Tribolium castaneum: one gene and its partners. The protein of the gene in region 3 purifies or fractionates together with the protein of the main gene of each other region. This does not show direct contact. Links are inferred from orthologs where the notes say so. Each region holds a gene or a part of one and is shown on either strand. Other genes may lie near its edges.

Region 1 (6,957 bases), on a different chromosome or scaffold from region 3:
TATTCGGATAACAATAAAAATATTTTAGAATCATTTTTTGTTACAATTCTATTAAAGAAAAGAGTAAATTAGTATAATGAAAAGGGATACTGTGCAATTTTTTAGACAAAGACATCTTATTTTTATTTGTTGTGATTTTTTTCTTTTAGTTATAAATTTAAAATTTTGGAAAAATTATCACGGCTTTTCAACGTCTAGCTTGACCTAAACTGAGTGATCTGTCCGCATCTATCATTCTTTTCGCATTAATTTGTTGAATTGTTAAAGTGATGTAGGGGAGAGTAGAGTAAAATGATCCCAAAAATCAAGAAAACTAGTAGTAGTAAGGTAACATTATTTTCTGGCCAAAAAGTAGTATACGTAGTAAGAAAAGAAAAATCTGGTCAAATAAAATAGAACTGCACAATCTGATACACTTTAATGTGTATCTTAGTTGTTTTATTAATACAGCTAGCATAATCTAATGCAATTTTCAATTAGGTGTAACTGTTTTTTCAACTACATAGAATTCTCTTAAAAGATAAATAGCACAAAACAATTTTTAGTGCAAAATTTTAAAATTTTGCGCCAATTATTGTTTGCACGATGAGTCAATTATAATTTCTCAATTCTCAGCGTGAATTATGCAGAACTTATCACAACATCTTTCTGACCCTGAAGCCACCAACTACGACCTTCAGAACTCTATTTACATTCCCATCATCGATAAAGACTACCAGTTTTCAAGCTACTGTTAAAATGTTAAAAACAACTGTGATTTCTTTACTTTTGATTGGTGTAACACGAGCTGAAACCATTTCTTTCAAAAATGTAACACTGGAATGGAAAACAAGCACAGATCGTAACACCACAACCATTCCATCATCAGCCAACCTTCGAGACAACATCCCAAAGCTTCAGACCGAGATTTCGGTGGTTTTGAGTGGTTTAGTGCCTGTTTTATACCCAAAATCAGTGAGTGGTGTACCAACTTTAAAATCACTAACAGTATCAAACGTCGGCTTGAGAGAAATAAAACCAGGAGCGATTGAAAATTTACCACTTCTGGCCCATTTGATTTTAAATCGCAATGAGCTCAAAGTTATTGAACGAGGAACTTTCACAAACTTAAACCTGACAAGTGTGAATTTAGGTGACAATGAAATTTCCAAACTCGAACTTGGGGCTTTCAAAAACCTCAAAATTCACCATCTCACACTCAGTAACAACAAAATTTCTGAGATTCGAAACGGGACTTTTGAAAACGTCTCACTCCAAAGCTTGAATTTGTACGGAAATGGGCTCCGAAAAATCGACGGACCAATCACAAACTTAACAAATCTGGTCCTGAGCAACAACAATTTGACCGAAATCGATTTGCATTTCCCTGATTTAAAATATCTCGACTTGAGTTTCAATTCCATTCAAGTTCTAAAGCCCGGAGACTTGAAAAATCTTCCCGCACTGGACACGTTGGACCTCACCGCTAATACCCTTCACCACGTCCCTGAAGGTGTCTTCAGTCAGTCGAAACTGGTAACTTTGAAACTAAATTACAACCAAATCGCGAAAATCGAACCCAAGTCATTCGACGACATGTCTCAGCTCAGTGTTTTGCACATCGACCACAACAACTTAACCCAATGGGATGACAAATGGTTGAGTAATTCCCCCAAGTTGGCCTACATTTTCGCCGGTTTTAACCGAATTGGAGCTTTGCCGGGCCAAGCCTTCCGGAATTATCCCCAAATGTACAGCATTGATTTGCAAGGAAATTTGATTAAAGAAGTTTCACGGGAAAGTTTCGCGGGGTTGGAGAAAGTGGTGAATTTTAGTTTGAGGGATAATTTGATTGTGGATTTGGACCCAGAATGGCTGGCTAATGCGACGGTGGGAAGTGTGGATTTGAGTGGAAATAAGCTGGGGTGTGTGGAGGGAAATTTAGAGGAGGCTTTCAGAAGGGTGGACTTTGTGCATCTGGAGGGGAATCCCTGGCGGGAGGATTGTGTGGAAAAGATTAAAACATTTCTTTCCCAGTGGCCAAAAATAAAACGCATTGTTAGTTCTGTGTCACAACAACCAATTTGATCTAATATTGATTAAAAACTTTGTTTGTAGTTTTATTGTTGTCCCAGAGCGAAATTATTAAATTTACCGCCTGTTTGAATGGCGTTCTACACGATTGCGTCCTATGTTTAGTAGGATATTTTCTGTTTTGATTAAGAATTTAATTAAAGTATTAACGTAAAAAATTAAATTTTGTTGTTCCAAATCAATTCGCAGCCAATTTATCGATATCGCAGTCATCTTTTTATTGATTTACTGTTTGGCTCATGTCCTTTGATTAAAACCTAGGGATTTTTCGCATGGATGCCATCACGGGGAAGTCCCTTGTTGAGTTACGTGTTTTAATCAGTTTATCGAATTAATTGTTATTTAAAACCAACGACAATGGGTGGATTGTTTTCAAGCCAAGGAAATGATTATTCCGACGATTCGTGTTCCGAAGAGGAAAGCAACGAGGTGTCGTGCAAAAATCAACCTACCTTTGGTAAATTTGTTTATCAACTTTTGATCTCAAGTGTCATTTTTTGCAACATAACCCCACTTTTTGTTACGTATTTAATTCCAGTAATTTAGTATTAATTTGAGCGATGTTTTAGATGAGGACAATTGTTTGGACTCCACTGACACCATAGACGCCAGTTTATCGCAACCAGCGATGCCAATAACGCTAAATGTGGACCAAGTTATGTCCATTGAAAACGACTTGGATGACTACGAGAAGGTAGTTATTTCTGGGAGCTATCCTTTAATAAAGAATGGTTACAGGTGGCCCTTGTGTTTTTGATTTACGAAGACCCCAAATCTGCGTTTGTTCAACTAACGAAATTGCTCCAAGGGTCCCATGACAAACTCTTGTATAATTGGGCAATTCATGAGAACTTAGCCGGTCGGAAGTGGCAAGAAAAGCTGGTTGAGGCACTTTGCATCATCCAGAATTACCAAATCATATCAAGTTTGGGCTTCAAACGGGAGGATTTAACCGCTCGGTTTTTACCGCACCACATTTTCACGTACGCCTATGTGAACAAAGTCAGAAAGGCCCTCTATTTCGTCTGCGAGGCGTTGCAGCAGAAGGACGTTGAGAATTTGCTCAACTTGGCGTGTAAGGACTTCAGGGAGAAGGGGCTGGATTTTAAGTGCATTAATGCGCAATTTTTGGAGTTGTATTTGCTGCATTGGGAGACTGTGGGGTACGTAAAACTGGACGATTTGAGTAATTTGTGTAGAGTTCTCAAGCAAATTGACCAGTTGGATATTTGTGATAAACTGAGAGAAATTGTGCCAATTGTGCACAAATCTGCTGAGAGTAGAAGTGTAGATAAAAGAGTAGATTCTAGTGAGAGTGAAAAAAGACAGTCAGTGAGTGTGTTTGAGGGAATTTTAGATCCAAAGTCCAGTTTGCTTAGTCTGGCCTCGCTGGAGACGTCGCATATCAGTGCAGACAATGCAGCTTTTGTCAGCGATGAAAATAAATATTTTATTGATCCAGAAAGACCTGGCATTTGTTTGATCATCAATCAAGAGAATTTCTACAGAGAAGTGGACAGAAAATATCGAGTAAGTTGGGGGAGAGGTGTTTTGTACCATGCTCTCAAAATTTCTGATCAAAAATTGACAAAAGAAAAAAATATGTAAGGTTCTAAGGAGTAACTGTTGATTTGTCATTGTTTTTTATAGTTAAAAGACCTTTAATTAAGCTCTGTTTTCTGCAAAAATTACGAAAATCCTTGTAGGGATTGTCACTTGCATTTGTCTTGCCAAGGTATTTTGAGAAAACAAAAAAAAATTATTAATGCGTTAAGCAGTGATTGTAAGTTCATCATTTTTTTACAACCAAAGGGTGTTTTAAGAAAATATGCTTGGAAAAAATACTGTTTGCTTGTGAAAACTTAAGAAGAGTAGGTAATAAAAAAAATTACAATTGTATGTTCTTTCTAAATCCAATCTTAATTATTATCTCTCAGACTAGTTGATATCTCGTATTAAATATTTGTAACCAAGCATTAACGAGGTAAAAACTAAAAATAATTTTAGAGTTTTTATAAAAAATAAACGTTTAAATGAAAAAATGAAATGAAACTGTATGCTGTTTTCTAAATAAAATAATAAATGGGCGGTCTATTTCCAACAGGTAACATCTCTAGCTTTACTTAACTTTTCAGGAAACGAGTGAAACGTTTCCTGAAAATAAAATAAAATAATAAAAGTAAGGATAAGAATTTAAGTATAAGGTTTTCATAATTTTGATTAGCATAAGTTAATGCAAAAGAAATGCATATTTCTGTATTAATAAAGACAAGGACAAGCTTACAAAATTAAGCGAATGCTTCTGCTAATTGTTTGACTTATCAAATTATAGACAACTGGAGGCAAAAATAAAAGCTGCAGCCATATACAGAGCTTAATATGTATTTTTTATACAATTTGCAATAATTTAATAACTTATTTTTTAAAGTAAACAAGTGTAAAGTAAACAAAATCATAATATAATAGTCCTCAAAAGTACTCACATTCACATTATTTTCAATTATTATTTTTTGCAGGCTAAGAACTTTTAAATTCATAAATATAAAAGATTTTTTGTTTCATCTGTTTTTGAAGTAAAGGCGTTAATAGATGAAGATCTAACATGTCGCGGTGGAAATTTTTTAAGAGTATTCCATATTGAGGGAAACTCTTCTTGTATTCTTCTGCTGAATTAGCTCCATTCTATTCCATTAGGAATTTTTGTTAATGTAGGATTAGGTATTCCCCTATAAAAGTTTCATAGCTTTATTTTTTTATTGCCAGTTACATTTTTATCTGTTTTTTTTTTATATATAGCAGTATGTATGTTTATCAATTATTTTGTAATAATTTTACTATAACTAAAAATTCGGATTCTTTTTTCTCACGCAAAGATTCATGATAAGATGAGAAATCCCGAGGCATTCTACAATGGTATAATTAATAATTATTCTAACTGTAGAGTATTTTATTTTGCATCTTTTACGTGTCTTCCTTCTCTTATGAAATCCTTAAACCAGAAATTAAATTCAATTTACTTGAAGGAAGTGATACTTCAAGTTTTTTAAGTGACACACAAGAGACAAACAATTCCTTAGAATCATAAGCAAATGCTTTAAGTAAAAGCATTTTATTAATACCACCCATTAATCCAGTCTTTCCGAGTCATTTATTTGATCAGAAATTTAGTAGAAAGCACTTCGTAATGTTTCTTCATTACTAGCACTTGCTTCCACGCCGGGACAACAAATTAGAACTTAGGATTGGTACACAATACGACCGAGACAAGCTTGAAGCCACTTTCCGACAATTTGGTTTCAAAACTATTGTAGAAAATAATCTCACTCATTTGGAAATGCTACGAAAAATAGAAGAAGTAGTGCAAAGCGTTAACGATGAGTCGAGCCTTTTCATTTCTATAATGTCTCATGGTGATGTAGGTTGGTTGATTTATTTTCCTTGTGATGCAGTTATTTATCTTTTATCTCTATTAGGTGTCGTTTACGGCGTTAATAGTTGCCAAGTCGACGTCAAAGCAATTAAACGTGTGATGTGTACCAAAAATCGCCCACATTTATCGGGGAAACCCAAAGTTTTAATCCTCCAGTCTTGTCAAGGCACCAGATGTCAAAAAAGTACGATTGGTTGATTCTTGTAACTTTATAAAAATTTATTTTTATTGTATTAGTTCAGTCAGATGACGATGACATTGAAACAGACGGTCCTTCGTCACCTGTCCAAGAATCAGTCCCGCCAATAGCAGATTTGTTCACTTTCTGGGCCACAGTTCCAGGCTATGGTGCAATAAGGAACAAAAAAACAGGATCCTGGTTTATTCAGTCCTTGTGCGGAAAAATGAAAGAATTGGGGCATAAGTACCATTTCGATGATATCTGCACCAGTGTTATAGGGGACGTAAGTAGGAAAAAATGGTGCCAAGAGAAGGACGAAGTGGCAATGGTGCCAGAAAAGGAGTCCACATTCAGGAAACTGTTTTATCTGCCACCCGTTAGAGTGTAAGTTTTTAAAAAATTATTAAGCAATATGATTTTTAAATTAAGTTGGTGACACTGAAAAACTGAAAAATGTTGCTAACTTAATTTCAATTATATTTAATTTTTTTAATGAAAACTCAAATAATTTTTGTTCAAAAAATAAACCAAAAAATTCGAAAACAGTCTTTTATTAACTCATAAAAACAGTGCATTTAATACTGACTAATTGCGACCTAATCAAGTCTAACTGTCTGCTTTTCGGTAATCTCTCTTTGAGCTCAGCCAACTCGCTAATCCAATAGCGATGTATATCACACTAATAGCGATATGGAAAATCCCATATACGAAATACTGATTTCGGGGGCCTAGGGCAAAGCCCACCCCTTTAGTGACCACAACCATCGTCAAAATCGACTGAAACGCCAACGCAACAAACGTATTAATTCCAAAAACCAGCCCATAACTGTCCTCCTTAATGCATTTGGCGATTTCAGCGCTGGCTATCGTAATCATAAAGTGGTAAAGCCCCCCAAAGGCTATATAACAGATATAACTCAAAATAACGTATTTAGTTCGCGACGTATAAAGCAGAATGAATCCGCTCATCAGCGAGCACAGCGTCAGAGCCAACTCGCCCTTCATTTTCCAATCCACCCTCAGAACGCCGGCCAGCAGCGCCCCCATGAACCCCAGTACGGTCAGGACCGACTCAACAGCCCCGTTGTAAATGGGGATAGTCGGGTCGTCCTGAATCGTGTTCCACAGCACTTGCATGTAGCACTGGACTTGGATGAAGCCGCACGTGGAGAGGGCCCACCAGAAGGACCATTTCAGGACGTAGCGGTTGGAGAAGGACTCCACCAGGTGCGTTTTCATCAGAGTGAAAGCGTTGAGGAATTTTCGCGAGTAG
Region 2 (5,676 bases), on a different chromosome or scaffold from region 3:
CCGCATTTTTCATAAGCTCTATTACTGCTCTAAAATGAAAACTTCTAAATTTGGATATCAGATTTGAAACCTACATTTCAAAAAAGATTGCTTAATTGCTGCGTATATTTGGTTGCCTGTACTAGAAAGATGGTCGATTAATGGGTTCAGTATCGCACGATTACAAAATTGTAACATAACATGACAGGCAATTCATATGTATAGTTAATAACGGTCAATAGGAAAATTATCCACCTGCTATTTAAGCCTACAAATCATCTAATTTGGACACTGACAGGGTAGGCAACACATTATATACATATATCAATTGTTTAAATTTATAAAATGGCTATTTTAATTCGCACTTTTGGCGAGTTTTTATGATTTTTGGTACATTTTAAAATAAACGTTTGCTTGTATTTAAGGAAGTTTTTTTGAATCTGCTTAAGTTTGGTATTTGAAAATCCCGCTGTTGGTGTGGCACTATGCAACCGGCCGGTTTCCTTCATTTTACAAAGTTGGCACAGAATCGGTGATAGGTGGAAAAGCAACCAACTTTCATCGCGCTGATTAGCGAATTACTTTAAGAAAATGTCTTCAAATTCGATAGAAAGCGAGGTAAGGCCCTGCTAATCCAACTATAAAAACTTTGGGTCATGTTTCAATCGGTAATTGTTGATATTTTCCAAGATTTGTCACAGCCCCGGCAATTCTGCCATATTGCATTCACATGACCATCCCTTGTAATTTTTTGTGTTGCTTCGCCACAGAACGAAAAAAACGACCTAAAGACTGAGAACGACATAGACATCGCGCAGGATTTTTCCATCAAACACCCGCTCCAAAACTGCTGGACACTTTGGTACTACGAGAATGACAGGAGCCAGACGTGGGAGAAGAACCAGAAGGAAATCGCCTCGTTTCAGACCGTTGAGGACTTCTGGAGGTAGTTATTGTGTTCAGGACACGGTGATGAGTGCTACTTGTGGCAAATTTCAGTTTATACAATCACATTAAGCCCGCAAGTGAGCTGAGACAAGGGAACGACTATTCCCTGTTCAAGAGGGGCATCAGGCCCATGTGGGAGGATGAAGCGAACAAACGCGGGGGGCGTTGGCTTATTAACTTAGACAAGAAACAGAGGACCAACGAGCTTGACCGGTACTGGCTTGATATTGTAAGTTCTTGCATAACGTCCGATTAAATTTCACACTTGACCTCCTTCAGATCTTGTGTCTAATTGGGGAAGCGTTCGAGCATTCGGATGAAATCTGCGGGGCGGTAGTCAATATTCGAGGAAAGGGTGATAAGATCGGTAGGTGACTAATCTAGGTTGGCGATATTGGGTAGTAATTGTTGCCAACTTAACAAGTCATGGGTCACTTCGATTTGTTGATTTCAGGGGTCTGGACTTCCGACGCCACAAAAAGCGCGGCTGTCATCGAAATCGGCAAAAAACTGAAGGAGCGGCTGCATATACCGCCAAGGACGGTTTTAGGATACCAAATCCACAAAGACACTCAGGACAAGTCTGGTTCCGTTACCAAGAATTCATACACCGTTTAATTAGAGTAACCGTTGAAATGTTTTCGTTTTGAGAATGTTCGTATTGGTATTGATTTCCCATGGTTTATTTGAATATATTTATTTCATTTTCTACTTTATTAATCTCGTTTTGTATGCCAGGATATTGTTGCGTTTGTATATAATTAAAGACGAGACACTTGTTTGAACTTTATATTTTTATAAAAATAACAACAGCTCGTTAACAATTATAAATTATGGAAAATCGAATATATCCTGCACTTTCAATCTGAGGTCCTTCCGCCTTGCGTCCGTTAAAGCTTCCAATAATTTACTACGCCACCTATATCTATCACAGTTTTGTTCGTGAAAAGCCAAAATCTTGTAGGCCCTAGCTGATGTGCTCCTCACAGTGTTTAAGTCGTCTATGTCGCCCTCAGGGATGCCCAAAGCCCGAGCAAAGTCGGTCCATTTTTGGCCGATTCCCTCGGCTATGCATTTGTACACCCTATCCTTGGTACTTTTTGGTATTCTAACAAAACCTAAATTCACATTTTTGCATTATAATTACAGTAAAGTGAGGCGACTACCTGAGTATTCCTCTGGACTATGACTATTACAAGCGTTGCAATTAACGTGATTGTCTTCAATTTGAACATTTCTGAGACTGTGTAACACTTCCGGTTGTTTAAACTCACTAGCTATGTCACTCAAAGCCTGGGTGTTACTAGAGTTGAGATAATTTCGTTTTTCCAAAACTTTAATTAGCTCTGACAGCGACCTTATGTTCTCCAACCTTCTGTTAGAGTTGATCACAGTTTGGTACCTCTCCTTCAGGATTTTCAATTGTTCACTTGGACAACGTATACTTGCAATTTCATTGCACAGCATTTTATAATTGGAGTTCGTTGACATTATTTTAGAGCTCAAATCAACCGAGAGACAAGCAATTACATGAATCAGTCTTTAAAACATCACACACTCCTATTTTTAGGTCGATTTTGGCATATTTTTAACCTCAATCTGTCAGTGTCATTTCTAAACGTCACATTACCAATGTCGGTGAAGATAGCACCAAAAATGATGCAGGTACTATGAACATTACAGTCGACCAGACAATTGCTGCGCCCACCATACTCATTTTCTAAAGCCAAGTTCACACCAGAAAAATTATCAAAATAATCGTAAATCATTCGTCAACAAGCTGTTACGCTGACTTGCTTATCACATTTGTAAAACATCTCCTGACCATTCTAATGTGTTTCTATTACAAATTAAAACTTAATTGCATTTAATTTCTGCATTTATTCTCATATTCAAGCAATACACTCTCTTTATATCTTCCAATTTTCTTTATTTTTGCAGGAGATTAAGCCCTCCAATAGGGCCTTCGACCGTAAAACAATCATGTTCTGACAAACACCCCTTGGGACCTTAACGATTTTTTTTTAATTTTTATAAAATTTCTGGATTTTGTAAACTCGTATTTAAGGATTGCTCTAATTAGTCAAATTAATAACTAATTTGTCCAGCAAGAACCACGTGGAGGTTTAGAGCATTCTTGCCAGGAAAAAAGGATATAAGGATGAGGTAAACGATGATTTTTAGAAAATAAAGGGAATAAAGGAGTTAGTGGTTTGTGTAATGAAAAAAAAATACAACACAAAAATATAGTACACCTACCTTCGGATTGCTTCTGCGTTGGCTACTGTTTGTAGCAAAACATTAATAAGAAATTAAAACCACCATTAAAAAAATCTTTATTTGCATTAAAGTTACAACAAGCAACTGTTATCAATATTACACAAAGTAAAGAATACACAATACGTTATAATATATGGTACACAAATTATTAAATTCAATACCTCACAAGATAAACACAAAAAAATGCACCTACCTTCATTTCGCTTCTGCGTTGGCTACTGTTTGTAGCAAAGTTACAACAAGCTACTTTTATCAATATTAAACAAAATAATAAATACACAGTACGTTTCAATATATAATGGCACTCAAATTATTAATTTCAACACCGCATTTAGAGCCGGTGTATACAACATTGTAATTGTAATTAAATTTTAAGGAATTATTGGTTTCTGAAATAAAAAGACAACAACACAAAAATAAAATGGACGTACCTTCATATCGCTTCCACGTTGGCTACCGTTTGTAGCATTAAAAAAATAATAATAATAAAAATGAAACCAAAAAAAAAAAAGTTTATTTGCATTAAATTTTGAGCAAGCCACTTTCATTCATTGAAATTAAAGACAAAATTAATACGTGGCAATAAATTGTTTGAGTGTTTGATTTATTTATAGTTACTGTATTTAGAATGAGTCACTCAAACAATGACTTTTCAACACCGTATTTAGAGCCGGTGTACACAACATTGTAATTGCAATTAAATTTTAAGGAATTATTGGTTGGTGAAATAAAAAGACAACAACACAAAAATAAAATGGACGTACCTTCATATCCCTTCCACATTGGCTACCGTTTGTAGCATTAAAAAAAATTAAAAACAACACCAATGAAAAAATCTTTATTTGCATGAAAATTACAACAAGCGACATAATTTTACGGTTGTAAAAAACAATCAACAATGTTATATTTAAGGATTGCTCTAATTGGTCAAATTAGTCAATAACTAATTAAAAATTAAAAATTAGTCAATAACTAATTTGTCCAGCAAGAACCACGTGGAGGTTTAGAGCATTCTTGCCAGGAAAAAAGGATATAAGGATGAGGTAAACAATGATTATTTGAAAATGAAGGAAATAAAGGAATTATTGGTTTGTGAAATGAAAAAATAGTACACAAAAATCAAACCTTTTTCACTTTGCGTTAAATAAATGCTCTTAGCTTTTGTACTGCATCTGCTACCATTTGTAGCAAACCTAAAAAATAAATTAAAAACACAACCAACAAAAAAATTAATTTGTAGGAAAGTTACAACAAGCGTCTTTAATAAATATTATACAGAATAAAGGATACACAATACGGTATAATATATGGCACACAAGCTATTAAATTCAACACATCACAAGATAAAACGCAAAAAAATGCACCTACCTTCATATGGCTTCTGCGTTGGCTACTGTTTGTAGCAAGACATTTAAAAAATTAAAACAACACCAATAAAAATCTTTATTTGCATGAAAGTTACAACAAGCAATGATTGTCAATATTAAACAAAATAAAAAATACACAATACTTTTCAATATGTGGCAATTCAAATTCAAATCAAATTCAATACCTCAGTAAATAAATGCACCTACCTTCATATCGCTTCCACGTTGGCTACTGTTTGTAGCATTAAAAATAATAATAATAAAAATGAAGCCAAAAATAAATGTCTATTTGCATTAAATTTTGAACAAGCCACTTTCATTCATTGAAATTAAAGATAAAATTATTACGTGGCAATAAATTATTTGAGTGTTTTATTTTATTTATAGTTACTGAATTTAAAATGTGTCACTCAAACTATCACTTTTCAACATCGCATTTAAAGATTTTAATTGCAATTAAGTTTTATGAAATTGTTGGTTTGTGAAATAAATAAATACGACACAGCAATAAAATACACCTACCTTCATATCGCTTCCACGTTGGCTACCGTTTGTAGCATTAAAAATAATAATAATAAAAATGAAGCCAAAAATAAATGTTTATTTGCATTAAATTTTGAGCAAGCCACTTTCATTCATTGAAATTAAAGACAAAATTATTACGTGGCAATAAATTATTTGAGTGTTTTATTTTATTTATAGTTACTGAATTTAAAATGTGTCACTCAAACTATCACTTTTCAACACCGCATTTAAAGATTTTAATTGCAATTAAGTTTTATGAAATTATTGGTTTGTGAAATAAATAAATACGACACAGCAATAAAATACACCTACCTTCATATCGCTTCCACGTTGGCTACCGTTTGTAGCATTAAAAAAAATTAAAAACAACACCAATGAAAAAATCTTTATTTGCATGAAAATTACAACAAGCGACATAATTTTACGGCTGTAAAAAACAATCAACAATGTTATATTTAAGGATTGCTCTAATTGGTCAAATTAGTCAATAACTAATTAAAAATTAAAAATTAGTCAATAACAAATTTCTCCAGCAAGAACCACGTGGAGGTTTAGAGCATTCTTGCCAGGAAAAAAG
Region 3 (7,157 bases):
CCCCTCATATGTAATAAAACTTGTTAATAATGACGCAGTATAAGGGTGATAGAATTTTTCGGAGAAACAGATAAAAAAATACCTTGAAGTATTACTGTATTATCGCAACAATAATTAAAAAAAAACTTTTACAATGCAAGATACATCGTAATAAACAAAGCTAATTGAAATTTTCTCGTTCCCTGATAAAACTGGAGTGTTTTATTGTTGTTACATAATTAAAAAATAGAATGTCGGAGCCGCTTTGGCGCGCAATTTGCCTACAAAAGGAATATTTGTGAAGGCATCGACCTGCGAGTACGAAGATCACGTTTAATCGCTTTTATCAGTCAATAACAACTCATTGTCTCCATTTGACCAATTATTTGGCTCGTGGTCTGTCAAGGAATGCGGCCCAGCAGATGATCCCGCACCTGGCCTTGCACCTGTTCCCCAAACATCTGCCTTTCGAAAAACACAAAATTGTTGATACAGTCGAGTTGTACTGAGAAAGAACCGTAACGCAAATATTACGGTTATTTTGTTGCGACCAAGTCGTGCTACTTGGGTGTTATTCGATAAAGGCAACCAAGTGGGTGTTCCTACGTGAGCACTCCGTCGCTTAAGGCAACATTTGGGTCTTGCCCTTACCACAAGCCGGGTTTGATTTCCCACAGAATTTCGTAACTCGAATTACATCACAAGGACATTAATACTCACTTTTCAAATTGAGAGATTGCCAATTCCGGCGCTGCACATAACTGGGCGGTCCGGGGCCATAACTGGATTGATTGATCCAGTTTGGCGGTTTTATTCCGCTGTGATATGTTATCACCGATAGGAAACAAAGGCTTTGGAGTTGAATGAAAGCAGTCGTGTTATAAAATAAATTTATTGAGTTTAATAAATAGTTATGACAAAAACGTTCTAACAGTGGCCTTGATGGCGGATCTACATAGAGGGCAATCTTCCAAATTCGGTGCACAATTAACACACGTCGTTAAATGTCCGCACGGCAGAAACACTATACCGACCTCGGCGTCCATACAAATCTTACACAGTCTTGCCTCTTTCAGAATTCGATTTTCTTCTTCTAGCGATAAAGTTTTATTGGATCTTGATTCCTTAACTATCGGTTCGTTTTCCGTTTTAATCTCACTCGAACAACTCCGTGCAATTATATTATCTAAAACATTTTCTACGACATTCTTCACGTGAGTGTCCTGATCATCGGACAAGTCCTCCTCGCTGTGCTGGAGATTGAGAGCGGCTTCGACCAAAGCGTCCGGCTGTGAGTAGCCGCGGCCAGTCTGTTCCAACTTCTCCCGAATCGCCCTTTTCACCCTTTCGACATTCAAGCCGATGCTAAGGGCCGACAGGGCCACTTCCCCCAACATATGCTCCTGGATTTCTTGCTCGGTGACCTCGCGCTTTCGCGACTGGACACTCGGGTAGTTCTTCTGGTCGACCTCCTCCTGAAACACAAATTGAAACGTTTTATGGCGCCGATCTTGCGAGATGGAATTTCTTTTCTTCAGAGAATTTCATTATGTTGCCGCTTTTGTAAGCCGACAAGGTTTCTACGAAAAGAGGCAAAGCCGAGAGGTAAATTCTTCGGTCCCTAATTCCCGGAAAGGTGGAATGTTGGGACAGTTCGGCGAACTTCTGGCGCCAAGATTTTTTCAGATAAGATAAGCTAATCCAGGAAATTGGGGCGAATTATTAAATTTTTTTGGGGCATTTTTAACTCGAACTGCATTCCGACCTTTTCTATAACGGTTTGAGTGGTCTGGAAACGCCCATCGGATTCTTTTCCACTTGCATAGTTACTGCCTTTGTCATAACAATTACGTAAACCAGGGACGGACTCTTTGTCTAGTCCATTAATAACAGGAAATCAATTGCTACGGAAAAATGCCTTATTTACATAAGAAAATTAACCGGGAAGGAGACCGCTGTCCGCTATTATTTTTATATTAACTTAAACTGCACACGAGCTGTGGTAGGCTTTTCAGTATAGCAATTAAAAATCGGGTACTTTGAGCTCCTTTAACTGCAAACCATTTCTAGACCCCATTAAATGGGAGGTAAACATATTCCCCGAATGCTGAGCTGCAGGGGTTAGTGCTTAAAGAGGCACTGTTCGTCCGAGTGTTCGAATGAAACATTTGACTGAGTTTTTAAGAGAAATAATAAACAGAATGGTATTTTTTTTAGATTTAATCCCATCTTTTACATTTATTAATTTTCGTAAAAGTGAAGACTGTGACTGTAACAATAATTATCATCCTGTTTATGCATACGCTCGTTATCTGGTAAAAATAATCCATCATGTGACCTAACAGTCTCACAGTCACATGAATTAAAACAATGCAAATTCATGTCATGAGTCATGCATTCTTGATAATAAGTTCTTTGAGTGCATAGAAGGATGTGCAATTTTTCAATTTCACACATCGAAAAAAAATTGTGCAAGGTTGGCGAATATGGGACGATCAAATACGAACAAGGCCAGCAACTAAGTAATAATTAAAAACATATGGAAATAATAAATTTATAAAGTTCTTGGAAGCGAAATTAATCATTGTGTTGAATTGAAACTTGATGCAACGTCGGTCCGATTAAAATTGGTCAAGTCCTTGCATTTCTGACGTCATGCTTTTCAAAGTAATCCAATAATAAACATTGCACATTTGCGGCGCCACAAATTATAGAGAAATGAACACGAATAAAAAGTTTTCAACCTAAAACAAGTTTTTCTATTTTCACCTTGAAATGTTTACATATCAAATATCGAAAATGCAATCGTTGCATTGAGCCATCGAGGTTTCGGGGACAAGAAACATTGGTTCACACTTTCGGGAAAATGGGACAACGATTGTGTAAACATCGAACATCCGGTTTAGACTTCATTCATAAAACTAGGGACTGAAGAGTGAAGACGGTCTATGAATTGTTGCGCAATTGTCCCTTATAATCGTAGTTGTAAAAAATTATTTGGCTAATAATTTTCTTGGTTAATTGTGTACACAAATTTTCCGGAGAACTGATAATGCAGCTGTGACAAAAAACAATTTTGCGAAGTTTCCAAACGTCATATTTATAAACGGAATTTGCGCAAATTATTTTTATGACCTAGTAAGGCGCAGATAATCGTAATTAAACGATAATTGCATATTAAAATAACCATCGAATCAAGGTCGCTGATTTGGGGCTCACCAGGTTGCTGTTGACGTTGAGTTCGAGGGAGCAGGCGGTGACGAATTCCTGCCCCTTGACCAGCTTGATGAAGGAGCACCTGGGGAACCACCTGGCGTGCTCCGTCCAGGGATCGTCCTGGGGGTCCCAGTGTCTGAGGCCGCCGTCGCAGTGGAAGCACCTGACCTGGTCCCCCATTCCCTCGTAGTAGAACCCGGCTTGGGAGAGGATATCTGGGGTTTGGATCAGGTCAGGGGGCCACGTGGCGAAGGATCTCAGCCGCGATTCGAGGGTGGCGTAGTTGGGTTTTTTGGGGCCTTTGTGCGTCTGGACTCCCAGACAGTGCAAATTTTCGTTGGCGACTAGATGCAGATTGGTGAAAGACGACGAGTCTGTCTTGACTTGTCCGTTGGTGTTTTGGCTGAGTCTGGGGACGATTTCGGTGAGGACGAAAGGGCAGTCTTCGAAGTGGCGCTTGTGCTCCTGGTCGGGGTCGTCGCCCGGCTCCCACGCCCGCACCACCCCCTTGCAGAAGGCGCACTTGGTGTTGTCGCCCGTGTTGAGATAGTAGAAGCCGGCGCGGGCGAGGCGCTCGGGGGCCACGATGTGGGGCTTGGGCCACTTGGCGAAGGTTTTGAGCCGGACGGCCTCGTCCTTCATCGAGTCGGAGGTGGAAGGTACGTTTGTAGGTGATATTATAGGAACATTTCCTGAGGTAGTTGGGTTTAAGACGAAGGGGCAAGAAGGGTTGAGGGTCTTGTGTTTGGCCATTACTTGGTCGCCGTAGTTCCATTCCGAAATTGTCAAGTGGCAGGAGAAGCATTCGACGGTGACGTCGTGCTTGGTGTAGAAAAAACCGGCTTTGGCGATTCGAGGGGGTGACACAGCGGCGTCTTGAGGCCACTCTTCGAACGTGTCCAAACGGTTCTGTTCCACGTTCATTTTCGCGATTTTCACGTTATGACATTTTTTTAAATCGAGCTCAGCGCCGACTTTGAGAACCTCGCTATTAAGTAGCACGGCAGAAACACCAATATACTAAGTCTAAGACATGGGAACCGTTCCTCCTCGAACCACTTCACCAAGGACTGTCAGCTATCAGCTGACATTACTCAAACACCGGCTAGGGACCGCTTTTACCGACCCAAATGCCAAAGTCATTAGAATTCAAACGATTTTTTCTAATTTACATAATTATTACAAATTTATTCACAAAAACTATTTTTTTCCCTCCATTTTCTTTCTGTAATCGTCCATTATGTGGCACGTCAGCATCGAAGTCAGAGTTTGCAACTTTATCAAACACTCGGACTTTTTTGCATTTACAGCAGAACTAAAATTAGAAGTTAATCGACATTTTTTTGCACAAAATGTTACCTTTCGCTTGTCTCTGTCACATTTTCATGCGTTCTCATAAAGTTATCAATTTCGTACTTGATTTTGTACATCAAAACGTCAGAGGTGATATTTACGTTGTACAAAAAGTAGCCCATGTGATCATGGTCTCTAGTATTCAATTCTTCTTTGAAATTTTCAAAAAGAGCAGCGATTTTCTCGTGCAATTCTTGAAAATTCTCTCCCGATTCAACCATTTTTGAATCTTGACACGTCAGTGCCAGGGACTTTACCGCTGCCAGTGTCGCCCACCAGAGGACGAACTTTTATTGAATAAAATTTATACATTTAAAACATGTACATTCCAATAGGCAATTTTACTTTATTTTTAGTTTTAGAAGCGATTTGTTGTAAATAAATATTATATTCTACTGAACTTCTCGTTTTAAAAAAGGAGATTTAGGAAGTTTTAGTTTTATTATAGTGTCGTCTGTATCCAAGACTGGCGGTCTCCTCAAATGTACTTTATTTATTTTACAATAAACAATTATAGAATCAGAATTTGTGTTATATTTCTTTGCCTAACTAAAGACCTGTGACTATTAGCCCCAAATTATTGAGTTTTGCCCTAAATGAGCGCATTTGGCACCGTTGGTGTGGGACGATCAGCTGATAGTAAGGGCAAAGTCCTCACTAGAATACTCTTCTTTGGTTCACTTTTTCCCCACATACTTAACAGTTTACATGGTTTGAGTGCATTTATTAAACGAACAGCTCAAAATGTCTGCTTTTAAACTATCCCAGGTTGGTGTCATATCATGCAAAATCAAAAGTAGTGCCCATTTGTCCCCCAGGTCGTAACTCTCACGAACAGATCATACAGCACCAAACCGCAACTAAACGAAGTAGTCATAATTTCGGCGGCTCGCACCCCAATTGGGTCATTCCTCGGTTCCTTATCCTCTGTCCATGTCTCTAAATTGGGGGCAACAGCAATCCAAGGTGCCGTTGAACGCGCCGGTATTCCAAAAGAAGAAATTAAAGAAGTCTACATGGGGAATGTGTGCCAGGGAGGTGTGGGCCAGGCGCCGGCACGGCAGGCAACCCTCTTTGCGGGGTTCCCCAAGTCGACAATATGCACCACAATTAACAAAGTTTGCGCTTCTGGAATGAAATCCGTTATGCTGGCGGCCCAAAGCCTCCAAGCTGGCCACCAGGATGTGGTTTTAGCCGGCGGAATGGAGTCAATGTCCAACGTGCCATACTACTTGAAAAGGGGGCCCACGCCGTACGGAGGAGTGAATTTAATAGACGGAATAGTCTTTGACGGCCTCACCGACGTTTACAACAAGTTTCACATGGGGAATTGTGCCGAAAATACGGCCAAAAAGCTGGGAATCACGCGTCAACAGCAGGACGATTTCGCAATTTCGAGTTACAAAAGAAGCGCCGAGGCTTACGCAAGCAACCAATTTGCGTCAGAATTAGTCAGTGTGAGCGTGCCCCAAAAAAAAGGGCAACCCGATTTGGTGTTTGCCGCCGATGAGGAGTACAAAAGGGTCGATTTTAACAAATTTTCCAAACTTGCGACGGTCTTCCAAAGGGAAAATGGCACTGTCACCGCCGGAAACGCCTCGACTCTTAACGATGGGGCTGCTGCTCTTGTTCTCACATCTGCGGACGCTGCCAAAAGACTCAACGCGAAGCCTTTGGCCCGCGTTGTGGGCTTCGAGGACGGCGCGTGTGACCCCATTGACTTTCCGATAGCCCCAGCAGTGGCCATTCCGCGTCTTTTGAGCAACACCGGTGTCAAAAAGGAGGACGTGGCCCTTTGGGAGATTAATGAAGCTTTCAGCGTTGTGGTTTTGGCCAACCAGCAACTCCTAGACATAGACCCGGCCAAAGTGAACGTGCATGGGGGCGCTGTCAGTTTGGGGCACCCGATTGGCATGTCCGGGGCGCGACTTATTGTCCACCTGGTCCACGCGTTGAAACCGGGCCAAAAGGGGGTTGCTTCGATTTGTAACGGTGGTGGAGGCGCTTCTTCGGTTATGATTGAGAAGTTGTAAGTTTATTATCTCTGGCGATGACCTCGGCAATTGCAAAACGACCTGTTATTTTTATAAATAAATGTTTTTTAATTAACTTGTTTTTTATTAGGCAAGAGAATCTGCCGCGTAATCAGCTACCGAAATTAATATTGTACACCAAAGACCCTTGTCCTTTGTGTGACGAAGTCAAGGCCAAACTGGGGCCTTATCTTAGTAGAGTACAGTTTGAAACTGTTGATATTACGAAAAAAGAGAATGTGAGGTGGTTGAAGTTGTATAGGTTTGAAATACCTGTGCTTTTTTTGAACGGGGAGTATTTGTGTAAACACAGTTTGGACGAGAAATTGTTGGAGGAAAAGCTCAACTTGATCGAAAACAGATAATTAATTTTTCAATAAACGGAAGAACTTGCCCGAATGTGAGATGATTGAGAAAAGGAATTAATGGACGGACACCTTGACCCTTCCTTGAATACAAATCTGACGTTTAATTTTGAATAAAGCTTTGTATGATTGTGTTCGTGTTTTATTTGTAAGAAAAATGTGTTTACTGTCGGAAAATTCTATTTGCAACAATGGATTAAGAAACAAAATC

Evidence for each region.
Region 1: the proteins of inhibitor of apoptosis 2 (region 3) and Dredd purify together in Drosophila melanogaster (affinity purification with western blotting; 3 studies listed by BioGRID). This does not show direct contact. The link is inferred for Tribolium castaneum from reciprocal best matches to the Drosophila melanogaster genes Diap2 and Dredd.
Region 2: the proteins of inhibitor of apoptosis 2 (region 3) and uncharacterized protein LOC103312947 purify together in Drosophila melanogaster (affinity purification with western blotting; 3 studies listed by BioGRID). This does not show direct contact. The link is inferred for Tribolium castaneum from reciprocal best matches to the Drosophila melanogaster genes Diap2 and Fadd.

Annotation. Positions count from the first base shown.
Region 1 is NC_087398.1:10,956,072-10,963,028, reverse strand, and holds the start of Dredd (caspase-8), read left to right. Parts: upstream 1-2,318; 5' UTR 2,319-2,430; coding exon 2,431-2,530; intron 2,531-2,539; exon of another isoform or gene 2,540-2,592; intron 2,593-2,642; coding exon 2,643-2,767; intron 2,768-2,811; coding exon 2,812-3,603; intron 3,604-5,275; coding exon 5,276-5,492; intron 5,493-5,546; coding exon 5,547-5,687; intron 5,688-5,740; coding exon 5,741-6,068; intron 6,069-6,707; coding exon 6,708-6,774; 3' UTR 6,775-6,957. Other genes in the region: leucine-rich repeat-containing protein 15, read left to right, coding at 739-2,067. UniProt on the Drosophila melanogaster protein: Effector of the programmed cell death (PCD) activators rpr, grim and hid. May play an apoptotic role in the germline as well as soma. Fadd interacts with Dredd to promote cleavage of Dredd and is necessary and sufficient for enhancing Dredd-induced apoptosis.
Region 2 is NC_087398.1:10,611,795-10,617,470, forward strand, and holds uncharacterized protein LOC103312947, read right to left. Parts: upstream 2,582-5,676; 5' UTR 2,419-2,581; coding exon 2,094-2,418; intron 2,046-2,093; coding exon 1,759-2,045; 3' UTR 1,703-1,758; downstream 1-1,702. Other genes in the region: eukaryotic translation initiation factor 4E-1A, read left to right, coding at 571-597, 750-925, 979-1,156, 1,207-1,294, 1,382-1,545.
Region 3 is NC_087397.1:2,707,160-2,714,316, forward strand, and holds inhibitor of apoptosis 2, read right to left. Parts: upstream 4,120-7,157; coding exon 3,199-4,119; intron 1,455-3,198; coding exon 891-1,454; downstream 1-890. Other genes in the region: Acat1 (acetyl-CoA acetyltransferase, mitochondrial), read left to right, coding at 5,293-5,316, 5,367-6,577, 6,673-6,946.